Daphnia pulex: one gene and its partner. The protein of the gene in region 2 interacts with the protein of the main gene of each other region in a biochemical or structural test. Links are inferred from orthologs where the notes say so. Each region holds a gene or a part of one and is shown on either strand. Other genes may lie near its edges.

The links. The genes of interacting proteins can lie anywhere in the genome.
Region 1: the proteins of unconventional myosin-XVIIIa-like (region 2) and Golgi phosphoprotein 3 homolog sauron-like form a complex in vitro, tested with the Homo sapiens proteins (2 studies listed by IntAct). The link is inferred for Daphnia pulex from reciprocal best matches to the Homo sapiens genes MYO18A and GOLPH3.

The regions. Positions count from the first base shown.
Region 1 is NC_060019.1:8,788,260-8,793,744, forward strand, and holds Golgi phosphoprotein 3 homolog sauron-like, read right to left. Parts: upstream 3,315-5,485; 5' UTR 2,642-3,314; intron 2,417-2,641; 5' UTR 2,403-2,416; coding exon 2,199-2,402; intron 2,129-2,198; coding exon 1,882-2,128; intron 1,817-1,881; coding exon 1,641-1,816; intron 1,568-1,640; coding exon 1,319-1,567; 3' UTR 438-1,318; downstream 1-437. Other genes in the region: CDK-activating kinase assembly factor MAT1-like, read right to left, coding at 1-6. UniProt on the Homo sapiens protein: Phosphatidylinositol-4-phosphate-binding protein that links Golgi membranes to the cytoskeleton and may participate in the tensile force required for vesicle budding from the Golgi.
Region 2 is NC_060020.1:237,231-242,650, forward strand, and holds the start of unconventional myosin-XVIIIa-like, read right to left. Parts: upstream 3,616-5,420; 5' UTR 3,479-3,615; intron 2,775-3,478; 5' UTR 2,764-2,774; coding exon 1,547-2,763; intron 1,388-1,546; coding exon 1,204-1,387; intron 92-1,203; coding exon 1-91.

The sequences.
Region 1 (5,485 bases), on a different chromosome or scaffold from region 2:
ATCCATTGTCAATGTCTATCAAGAAAAATGTTAAGGTTGACTGCTCAAACCATTGGCGCTTTCATAAATACAAAGAAGAATCATCAATTGAGCATGTTGATATTTTCGTGCACTTTTTTCAACACATTTCAACCAACCCAACCGATTCAAGCAGACGACTCAACCACTGTTGCCGCTTCGTTATTTAACATCTCCGCACGTGATGTCAGTTTTTGTTCGGAAAATGTTTCATTTCCAAATTTTCAGAGTTGATTACTTGATTCATTGGGAATCACACCAAAGATTGTGATAAGATGGGAAGCAGCCCAAATTCACATTTTCTAACAACCACGCTTCCCTTGATCTAGCTTCCGGTTGCTAACCACTGTACGTAAAGATGGCAGCACTGAATTTTACCTGTAAAGAAGGAACAAAAGACAATAAAAATCTACCACATGTTGCATCCGAATTCCTGATTTTTTTATTCAAACTACCAATAGTGTGTACATGCAGTAATGAAATAAAACATGTTATACACGTTCTCCCACATAATATAGTACCTAATATATAGCATTAGCCGATTAAAGGGAGTTGTTAAACACACATATCCAAATGAATTTTTGAGGGTCGCAATCCGCAAATCATTTCACAGTTTGCAGGTTACATATTTTTCATTTCATTTATATTGTTGTATTTTTAAAGATGGCGCGCTGCGCTCCCGATGGAAGGTATATTTACAATACATACCACAACGGGATTTCCCCAGAATTGTAACAAAAACGTCTCTCTCCTCTGCCCACTTTCCTCCACGTTTCAACCCACGTTAAATCATGAGAGTTCGCTATATAATAATAATAGTGGTTTCGTTAAATGAATATTTTCCCTTTCACCATTTAAAGAAAACTTGAATTAAAGAGGAAACAAGTGCACTGTGAGCGTGATCGGTAATTTTGGAAATGATTTTTAGATAAATCGAGGCTTCCCAACGCACACTCAAAATGGAGAAAATTAATAACACTCGTAGGATATTCTAAATATTGTTAAAAAAAGAAGGAGGGGCTAGTAATAACTGAAAAATGGTTTGAAAGAAGGAATGAATTGGAAAATCTAGCCTGGCTGCAGCTATGTAGGTATACAAAGGTAGGGTTATTTTTTTCGATGGCCAGTAGCTTAAAAAACGGGAAAAATAATGGAGACGCGGAACAAAAAAAGAAAGAAACTAAATAAGGATCAAAAGAAAGGGGATAGGCAAAGAAAATAAGAAAAATAAATGATATGGGAAGGGATAGGAGTGTACGAAAGGGATAGCAATACAATATTAGTAACAATAATAACGTTATCATTTGGTAAAGGAAGCAAAAACAGCCCACATCAACTCATTGGTTCCAGGTTTTGCACTCTCGTTGTCCAAGTCAAGGTAGAGGAGTTCACGAACCCGTTTCATGGCCAGCTCGTAGTCGTCGTCGTTTAATGGGGCAAAGGCATTCTCTAACACGTCAGAGGCGTGAGCCAGGAAGATGAGTGACAGCATGCGTTTGTCCATTCGATGAGCGTCGTTTACCCACTTGGATAAGACTGCTTCTTGTACCTGTAGATGGTTTGGTCAAAGGAACAAAAGGTTTAATGATATGGCTGGCTTTGAGAATGTGAAGACGTCACACCTTTTTGACAAGACGAGTTTTCATGATATTGTCCGTGAGAGGATGAGTGGTCATATCAAACAAGAGAAAATTCTGTTTCTCTGTCGTTAATACTCCCTTCTCCACCAAATTTTTGGCCAGGCGTTCCCGGACGTTTTTCAGTTGATATCTTAGTTTCAAGGGATTCCATGTTTCTCCTGTAAAAATATTTGAAAATCAATGAAAAATTCTAAAGTTGGAGGATTAAACAAATGACACTCACCACTGAGGTATTCTATCCAATTCTGTACCGTCTCAGGGGGATCTGTTTCCTTGACATGCTTGAGTGCCTCATCTAGGAGAACATCTCCAGTAGGTGAGTCATTCTTGAGTAGAATTTTTCTCCCCAATAGGGATCGTTTCCTCATTCCTCCTTTCTCTAGTTCAACTCTACCACGTAGGCCTAACTCAATCAATATGCATCCACGAAGACCACTAGATATGCAATCATTCCAGAATGAAGTATAGCCCTGTAAAGTTAAAAAAATTAAATTTAGGGGGGAAATGGACCAAGTATGACACAATAAATATTATGTATACCTCTTTATCTTTGAGGCCCAATAATAACACTTCTTCCATCAAGGTGAGTCTTGTTTCTTTGGAATCCAAATCATCCATATCATCTGTATCATTACTTGTACGGCGGTCTTCAACATCAGCTGGACCTGACGATATCTCAACAGGTCCTCCGCCACCAGTCCCCACACGAGCAGTCCTCCTTTGAACAACCCCTTCACGATTCATTTTTCTATCAAAACCTGTAACCAGAAAGAACTGTGAGAAGTGAGAACAACCACTCCAGAAAGCACCAAACTATGAATGATTAAATGCCAAATGAATACACTTTGAGTTTGACATTTGGATGTAATGAAATAATAATGACTTGATCCTTTTTTTGGGGAAATTATTCTAGTCAAAAGAACTGAACTGTATCTATTTGAAGAGTAATGAGCTACTTTGTTAAGTAGAGGAGGTAATCTGACCTGTGCACTTGTGAAAGAATAATACTGGCTTTGTGGCAATACGCTCGACGTCTCATCAGTCGCAGACAACGAAAAACAAACTCAAGAACTCAAGAAGAAGGAAACTAAACTATGAAAAGGGCACTACAGTTGTAACTTCGTTCTGGCTGATGAGTTTGTTGACATTCGGAGGCTCGTCTATGCCTTCTTACACGTATAGAAGAACTTTTGTACACGTATAATCTTTGGCAAGCAGGTAGGGTTCTCTCTGTAAAAACGTCGATTTTTGCCTGGTCGTCAAGGCAACAAGCCTGCTGCTTGCAAGTTGCGACGTGGCGTAAAAAAATTCAAAAATGAAAAAAACCAGAAGGTATTTCCCACGGTACGCGATTCGTATTTGGTGAATTGTGTAAACGTAAGCACAGAAAAAAACGGGAAAATTATGACAGTTATGGTAGTGCAAAGGTTTAGGCGATTTTCTTTCGAAAGAATTGTTATCTTGTGTAAATATAACCCTCGTCAATCAGTCCGTCACTGGACATTCATACACATAAGCCCTTAAAAAAAAATTATCTTTCCCGTCCGGATCGTAACTATGACAACATTAATTTGTGTCAATGGGAAAATGTAGATAGAAATGTGTTGCAATATTTGACCCGATATTTGCGATGAAACATAAATGACGATTTTTATTTTATCAAAGGAAAAATAGTTGTTTTCCTTGCTAGTTTCAATTTCAATTGATAGGTGGCAGCTTTATACCTACCAATTAAAAAATTCCGATGGGGAAATCCGCCTCGAACTCGATTCAGATAAAGGTATAAGTCTAGATAAATCAGATAAAAAACTTATTTGGATGTAACAGGACCTTATACCAGGTTCAATCTAACAAAGTTTAAATTGGGGAATCAAAAATGAATCTGTAATGGACAACACGCTTGTCCATTTCATCCGACGTGTAGGAAGAAAATCGAAATTTTTTACCGACGAATGAAAAATTGATTTGTAATTATATTCCGCAATGAAAACTCGATTTCCAAGAATCAACATTTATTTCCATACATCGCAATAGTATATCAGTATGACAGGATCGTTTGACGCATTACATCAGCACCTATTTTTACCTGCGCTTAATAATTCACTCTATACATGTAAACATGTTGAAGCGGAAAAATCAGTCACGTTCTACATCTGGTAGCCCCGTTGCCTAGTCTACTAATATCAACCGAAAGATGTGTGTAAATATTTGGCCATTTTCTGATCCTTTTAAAAAATCCGTAGAAAGTCAGCAAATATTTTGCTTATCTTGTTACAAGTTGTGTAACACAATTTGGCTCAAGCAACGGTGAAACCAGCAACTAAATTGGTCATATCTCTGCAGTAGTAAGAGCGATAATGGGTCACTTTTCGTGGGCACCTAACTAGCCAGCCAACTTGCAGGCAGCTAATCCGATAATAATTACTGCCGAGGAGTTTGTGTGAAAACGCATCCGGATTTCGTCACGATCTTCTCAGCAGCAACGGCGTTGGCAGCCGAAAGATGGCAGCTGGTGTTCTCCGTGCCGGCTCAAAATCCAAAAAACAAGATTCCGACCGAAATGATGAAACCGCGGCTCGTGTGTCGGGGGGATGAATGCCGACCGAGAGAATCCCGGCATTTGTATGCTACGGGGCGAATCAAATAATTCATCTGACCTTAATTAGAAAACCAACGTTATCCAAAAACTGCAAAGAGCGGAAATAGCTCAGCATAGAACAGTTGATGAGAATATTGATCCGACTCGTCTGATGTTAGTAAACACGTGAAAAAGACATTGAAAATGTAATATTCGCCGGCCAACACACATCTCTTTTATGTTGGAAACATTTTTCGCTAAAAAAGAGAAAAAAAGAGCTAGCTAGCTAGCTATACATGTAAAAGAAGAAGATGAAGTCCTCTCCGGCGCAATTGTTGCCTGCGGAGTAGTCTTTTTGAAAAGAAAACGAGGGAACGAAGAAAACGGGCGGATAGGGACGTCTGGCCGCTTTATTGCCACATCACAACCTCATTAGCTCAAGAGCATATGGACTGGAGAGTTTTTTTTTCCTTTTCCTTTTTGTTTGTATATGTAGCTCGGCCGACGACGACGACGACGACAGGAGCAGCAGCCGCTATTGAACATTCGATTTAAGAAAAGAAACTAGTGAGACTCTTGCGAATGAACAATTGCGCCAACTTTCAAGCCGATGTGTGTCTCCTGCAGTCTATTACGTCTACGCACTTGTGCGCATTTCGAATAAGTAAAAGGACTGAGTCTTGTTTATCATAAAAACCTAACCCTCTTCTCTTCCATCTCAATGGTAATTGGACTCTTGTCGGGACCTTTTTTTCGGCCCGAGACAAACACCACCCAAAGGAAACTGATCATCATCAGCAGTTCCTTCCCGTAACTCTGCCGGTAGTACTACATAATGGGCTGAAAATAAAAGAGATCCAGCTGCTTTGAAGTTCGATTGCGTCAATAGAGTTTTACTTGTTTGTCGTCGTGTGCAGGAGCCACAGCCATGAACAATAATGGGTTTTATTCTATATAGGAAAAGAGAGAGAAAGTGCGTCATGAAGACTCGAGAGGATTGCTGCTGCACTTGCTCTGTCCTGCTATTTGCAGATGCTCATTGGCCAAAAACCCCAAAAGAAGATGAGAATCAAGAGAGAAATAGGAAGACGGATAAAATTATATTTGCGTGCATGCTACCCGGCTATCATCAGCTAACGTAGTGTACATTCTGCCCGTCTGAAAACTCGGTCGAGCTGGGAAAATTTCAGTCCCGATGGACGCTATGCTGACAAGATGCTTCCATGTTTACGATGATGCTTTAGACTAC
Region 2 (5,420 bases):
CACCTTTAGCGATGACGTCGTTGAGGCGAATTTGACGGCCGTCGGCCGCCCAGCGGCGCGATAACTCCACCAATTCGGCCACGGGCTGCACCTGTGTCGTTAAAACAAAACCCCCCCAAAAAAATTCAAATCATCGAATATAAATCAAGACAATAAAAAAGACACAACAACAACAACAACAACAACAGCGCCGCCACTTTATATCTGAGACGTCCGACGACGACACGACCAGTTTCTTCCACCGGCATTTAATTTTGATTTTAAAAATTCAAGATAAAAAAAGAAATAAAACAAAAAACTGGTTTGGACGGGATCGTGACTGAATCAAATGCCACACACGAGCCGATTTAGGAATAGGTCATTTTTTTTTCTTCTCTTTTTGGTTCGCGTTCGCTTTTTAAATTCGGCGGTCGTCGTTTATTTGTTTGTTTCAGTCGGCGTCGTGAGCGACTCGTTTTGGTCGTTTCGCAACTGCTGCCGTCGCCCCGTGAAACCGTTTCGCAACGGGCTGGCCCGTTTTCACAGGCGTTTTGACTTTTGGCGATTAGTCAAACATTGGGCAAGCTGAGATTAATCGGGTCGTGGCGTGGCAGCGGATTAAAGGCTTCGTGCGATAATCGGCACGCCGCCGCCGTCGCCACAGGTGTTTTTGGTTCGGTTCTACTCAACTGCCAAGGAGAGACGGGCAGGACGGGCGGGCAGAATGTTTCACGCAAGGCCAAGAGGCTCGAGACGTTTGAGCTGGCGCGAGCGAACGCATTCAAAAACGTGAAAATAAATCACGCGGCCATAAATCACGCGTACAGTCGCATCCTGCCCCGTAATGATTATGCAGTACGTGACGCACGCTGCTGGCCAGATTACTACTCGCTTGTAAAAAAATAAATTCTTTCTTTCTCTTCTTTTCCGTTGTGGCCTTTCTCTCGTTGGACTTGATCGTCCCCCACCCCACCAAAAAAACTACACAAAACTGGTTGGTCTATTAGCCCAGGTAAGCTCCGGGAATGCGCCATCAAAGTTAATCCCTGGCGCCATCTAACCTTATCTACCCCAATGAACGGCCAAGGCGCAATCGTTTAAATTGAAATTCAAGTCATAATCGTAAAACGTAATGAAAGAAAAAATATAAAAATAAAAAAAGAGATAAGGAGCCGTAAATCAATGAAAATAATAAAACATTTAGAAAAATAAAGGCCGGACAACCTTGAGCGTGACGGTGGATCCTGAATTCCGAATGATGTCGATGATGTCCTCGCGGTTCGTGTTCTGAACGTTTTGACCGTTGACTTCCAGGAGCCGGTCGCCGGGCAAAAGAGCCGCATCCAATTGCTTGTTCGTGTTGCCAGTCACCGGCTCGGCGAAAATCACCGTCCTCTTGACCGAATTCCTGAAATTAACAAACAAACAAAAACGGACATTTCTTTAAATGATTATATCAGACGGGCAGGCGGGGGAGGAGGAGGATGAAATCAATGGGGGAAACGGGGTCGAGCCCGTCATTAACGCCCCCACAGCAATCATAACGAGAAGATATTATTTTTAATACCTGGACGGATCGTTGGGCGACCGCTCGACCACGACGCTCCGCCGGAGCGAGAAACCAAAATCGCCCGTCTCTTTGCGCTGCAGCGTCAGATCTCTGGGTTCGGGCAGGGCCGGCTCAACGAGAGCAGGAAGAGGCAGAGAAGATGAAGAGGATGAGGAAGAATGGAGACTCTTGTGGGTTTTGATGCGATCCAGCCAGCCAGAGCCTTCACCAGGAGGTTCGCTCCATAAAACCTTGACCGCTGCCACCACCGTCGTCGTCGTCGTGGGTTTGGCAGTGGCGGCAGATGGCGGCCTGGAATTGTCGGCCGGAACGAGACCGGCAGCGGCGGCGATGGCAGCAGCTGTGGCCGCATCCAGCGGTGCCAAATGTGGTCGTGGGCTGCTATAAGTAAACGCGTCTTCTTCTTCTGTTTGCATTCCTCCTCCTGCTGCTGCCCTCGCCCGCTGAAAGCCCAGCTGCCCGTTGGCAGACGACGACGGAGGCTGTGACTTGGGCAGAGGGGGAGGCAGCAGAAGCAGCTGGGCAGCAGCCGACGGACTCGAGAGCGATTTCTTGACCCCCAACACAGCCGGTGGCTTCTCGTAAATAATCAACTCGTTTTTCAACGTGTTCTCCACCAATTTGTTGTCGTCGTCCAGTTCCAGCAGCGGCGGAGACTCCAGGCCGTACGAGGACTTGCCCTTGAGGATCCCGCGGGCCGGCGGCACGGGCATGGGGGAGGAAACCGACAACGTCTCCTGTTTCATCATCATCATGGCCGTCGTCGTTGTCGTCGACGTCAGGGAATTCAAACTGGGCGTCCCGTCGCTGGTGCAACTGCCCCCGTCGCTGATGGGACTGTGTGGCAGTTCCGGCCAGGGTCCGGATGAGGCGTGGCCGCCGTCCACCAAGTGGAGACCCAAATGGGCCGTGTAGTCGGCCGTGATGCCGCTGGGCAGTTTTTCCTTCTCTTTGCGGCGTGTGCGGATCTTGAGACTCCGCCTGACTTCGTCCAATCGCAGCAGCTCGTCGGCCGTCAGCTTGTCGACGTTGGCCGATGAGGATCCGGCGGCGGCAGATGCTCCGTACACCACCCCGCCACTTCCGCTGCCAGATGACGACTGCTGGTGGAAAAGGGAGGCAGCAGCAGCATCTTTTGTCGGAGGCTTTTTCGTTTCTTTTCTCTCCTTTTTCTCCCTCTTGTCCGCCTTGTCCTTCTTCATAAAGCTGAACATGGCGGCCAGTCCTGCACATGCAAACAACAATGGAAAAAAAAGAGAGAATAAAAGAAAGAAACATTACATCGATGGTCAACACAATGCACACACACACACACAGACACACATGCCAGTGTAGGATGTTGGCATTTATCGGGAAACCACAAGAAACATGAGCAGCCAGAATAGGCAGGAAGGAGCTAAGGAAACCTCAAACTGATTACGGGGGAGGTTGGCAGGTTCATGGAACTCTTTTCACGTCTCACAAACCCTCAAAACTTGGCCATTGCATGTGGGCTTTCAATTATCGAAACTTGATGTGCACATTTCACAGACGTCTCTCTCTCTACCCCCATTCCTTCACTGCATTGGCAACGGGTCATGGGAGAATTGACCAAGCCTTCGGAGGGAGAGTGAGAGGCCTTCTGCTTGTTGTTTTGACATCTTCACAGGAGTTTGCGAATGAGAAATGGCCAGGGCTTGCACTTGGCAATCACAGCAGAGCCAGAGAAGCGAGGCCCAGGGGGAATCGTGGCTACACCTATTCGGGACGCTAATGAGTCAACATTTTAGATGGAATTTAGGTAAGAGAGAACCCGTTCCAACTAGCACCACACAGGGTCGACGGCTTGTTGCGGGGGCCCTTGCTCTTCCTTGTCGAATGCCAAGCAAATCCACCGAGAAACGCCGTCAGAGATGGTCAGGGCCGACTGTAAACAAATGCACGACTCACCTGAAAGCTCATCGAACAGTGGAAAGGAATCAAACTATTTCACTTGAAAGCGTTTGATGAGTTTAAGGCGCCAGCAAATGCTTGACGTCTGCAGAGGTCTCGGCCGAGTCGACGTAAATGACAGGCGCCCCAGTCTGGTCACCAGGAATGCGGCGAGAGATTTCTATTTCGACCGCTAGGTGGCGAACTGGTTCGGCTGATTTCGCGGGCGGGCTTTCAAACAACACCAGCCAACAATCAATATCAAATGACATGCATCGTTGTTTTTCTTTGGCAATTGATTGGTCGAGATTCTCGAGAGACAAAACGGCTCGTTGTTTTAGACTGAGAGAGAGACAAAACTTGAAATTCAAATGACTCAGCGTATCGAATCCGGGACGGTCTCAACAGGTTTTTTTTTTCAACATTTATTTTGCTTTAGTCGAGTGTAAATACGCCCATTTATTCCGGTTTTGAAAAACGCCGTGTTCAAACATATCAGATGTATTTTTGTAATATAATCGAGTTAGAAATATTTTAAAAAAAGTTGTAAGTAATCAAATAGTTTTTTTGTTTTGTTTCTGTCATTTCGAATTACAGTGTTCCATATTTTGGGCAGTTGTAAAATGACATCAAATTGGAAAATATTTTATGCAAAATGTACGCGCGTTGGGTGGCAATTTTCAGATGGTGAAAGGTCTACAAGTCACAAAAACCAGTAGAGACGCAAATGGTGATGGTTTAATATAAGGAAGACGGGGAATGTTATAGGGGCTTTAATTTTGTAAATGTTGTAAAGTGTAGTAGTGCTTGTACAGTGACTTGCCATATACGTGTGTGTATTTTCCATTTGCAGTCAACAGCGAAACAGTTTTTTAAATGTTGACATTGAATGCAAAAAGAATTGGGGAACTTGTGTTGCCACTCTCAACCGTAGAGCCAACCGGGAAACCTGTTTCTATTTATGTCTCCACCGGCATTGACGCCGTATTGGTACGACGGTGGGCCGTAGACACCATGAATAGGTGTCATAGGCGGCCCGGTAGGATTGCGGTAGGATTGCTCAGCAGCCTCCTGATCCTGGACTTCAGCATCCATGGCGAAGACGCAAGCGGCCAAAGCCACCAAAACCAAAAGGGTCTGCGCAATAATATTTTAAATTCCATTAGACAGAATTATAATTGCAATAAGCCAGCAGGGATATTTACAGCACAAGAAAAGAATATTTTTAGGGATTTATACCATTGACTTGTACAGCATATTGAAGAAGAAGAGATAGATAAATAGTTGTTGAGCTTATACTTGGCGATCAGGTGTTGTTTGTCTTTTCCACCCTCTGAGAGGTTCAATTTAAAGGCCTTTTCGTCGGAGATGAGCGAATTTCCGTGCGGCACACGACCAACGAAAATGCATCCCCTTTCAAGTCGCTTTTCTCTGTGGTATCTGGCATGAGCGTGACTATCTGCTGACGTAAAAGGCCGGGTTAACGACATGGAGATGAAAAACAGATAACTTTGAAGAAAAAAAGAAATAATACGAGCAAAAACAGTCTGCCAAGTTCTATGTGTGTGACAAATGTTCAATCGAAAGAAAATGGGAACACATATGGTTCCCAATATAAATCCAGTTTCGTATAATATACTCTATTTCTTTTTACGACTCATTTCTGTGCATAACTCAACCAAACTCAGCATTATCAATCCTATTTGCTGATTTGCTGCAAGTCTATTGTACTACTGCAATTACATTTCTATACACCAGGCATTGCCGAGGGCATTGCGGAACAGCAATGCAATAGGTTCCTGCTGATGTCTCTATTCGTCTCCCATTGCAATTCAATAGAGCGCAGTGCCAATAGATAGACTGCCTACTGCAAGAAAGAAATTGCGCGTTTCATTTTTTGCAAGTCGAATAGGCCCCCTTACCGTTGCAATTTTATGTCACACGATTAAATGCCTACTCA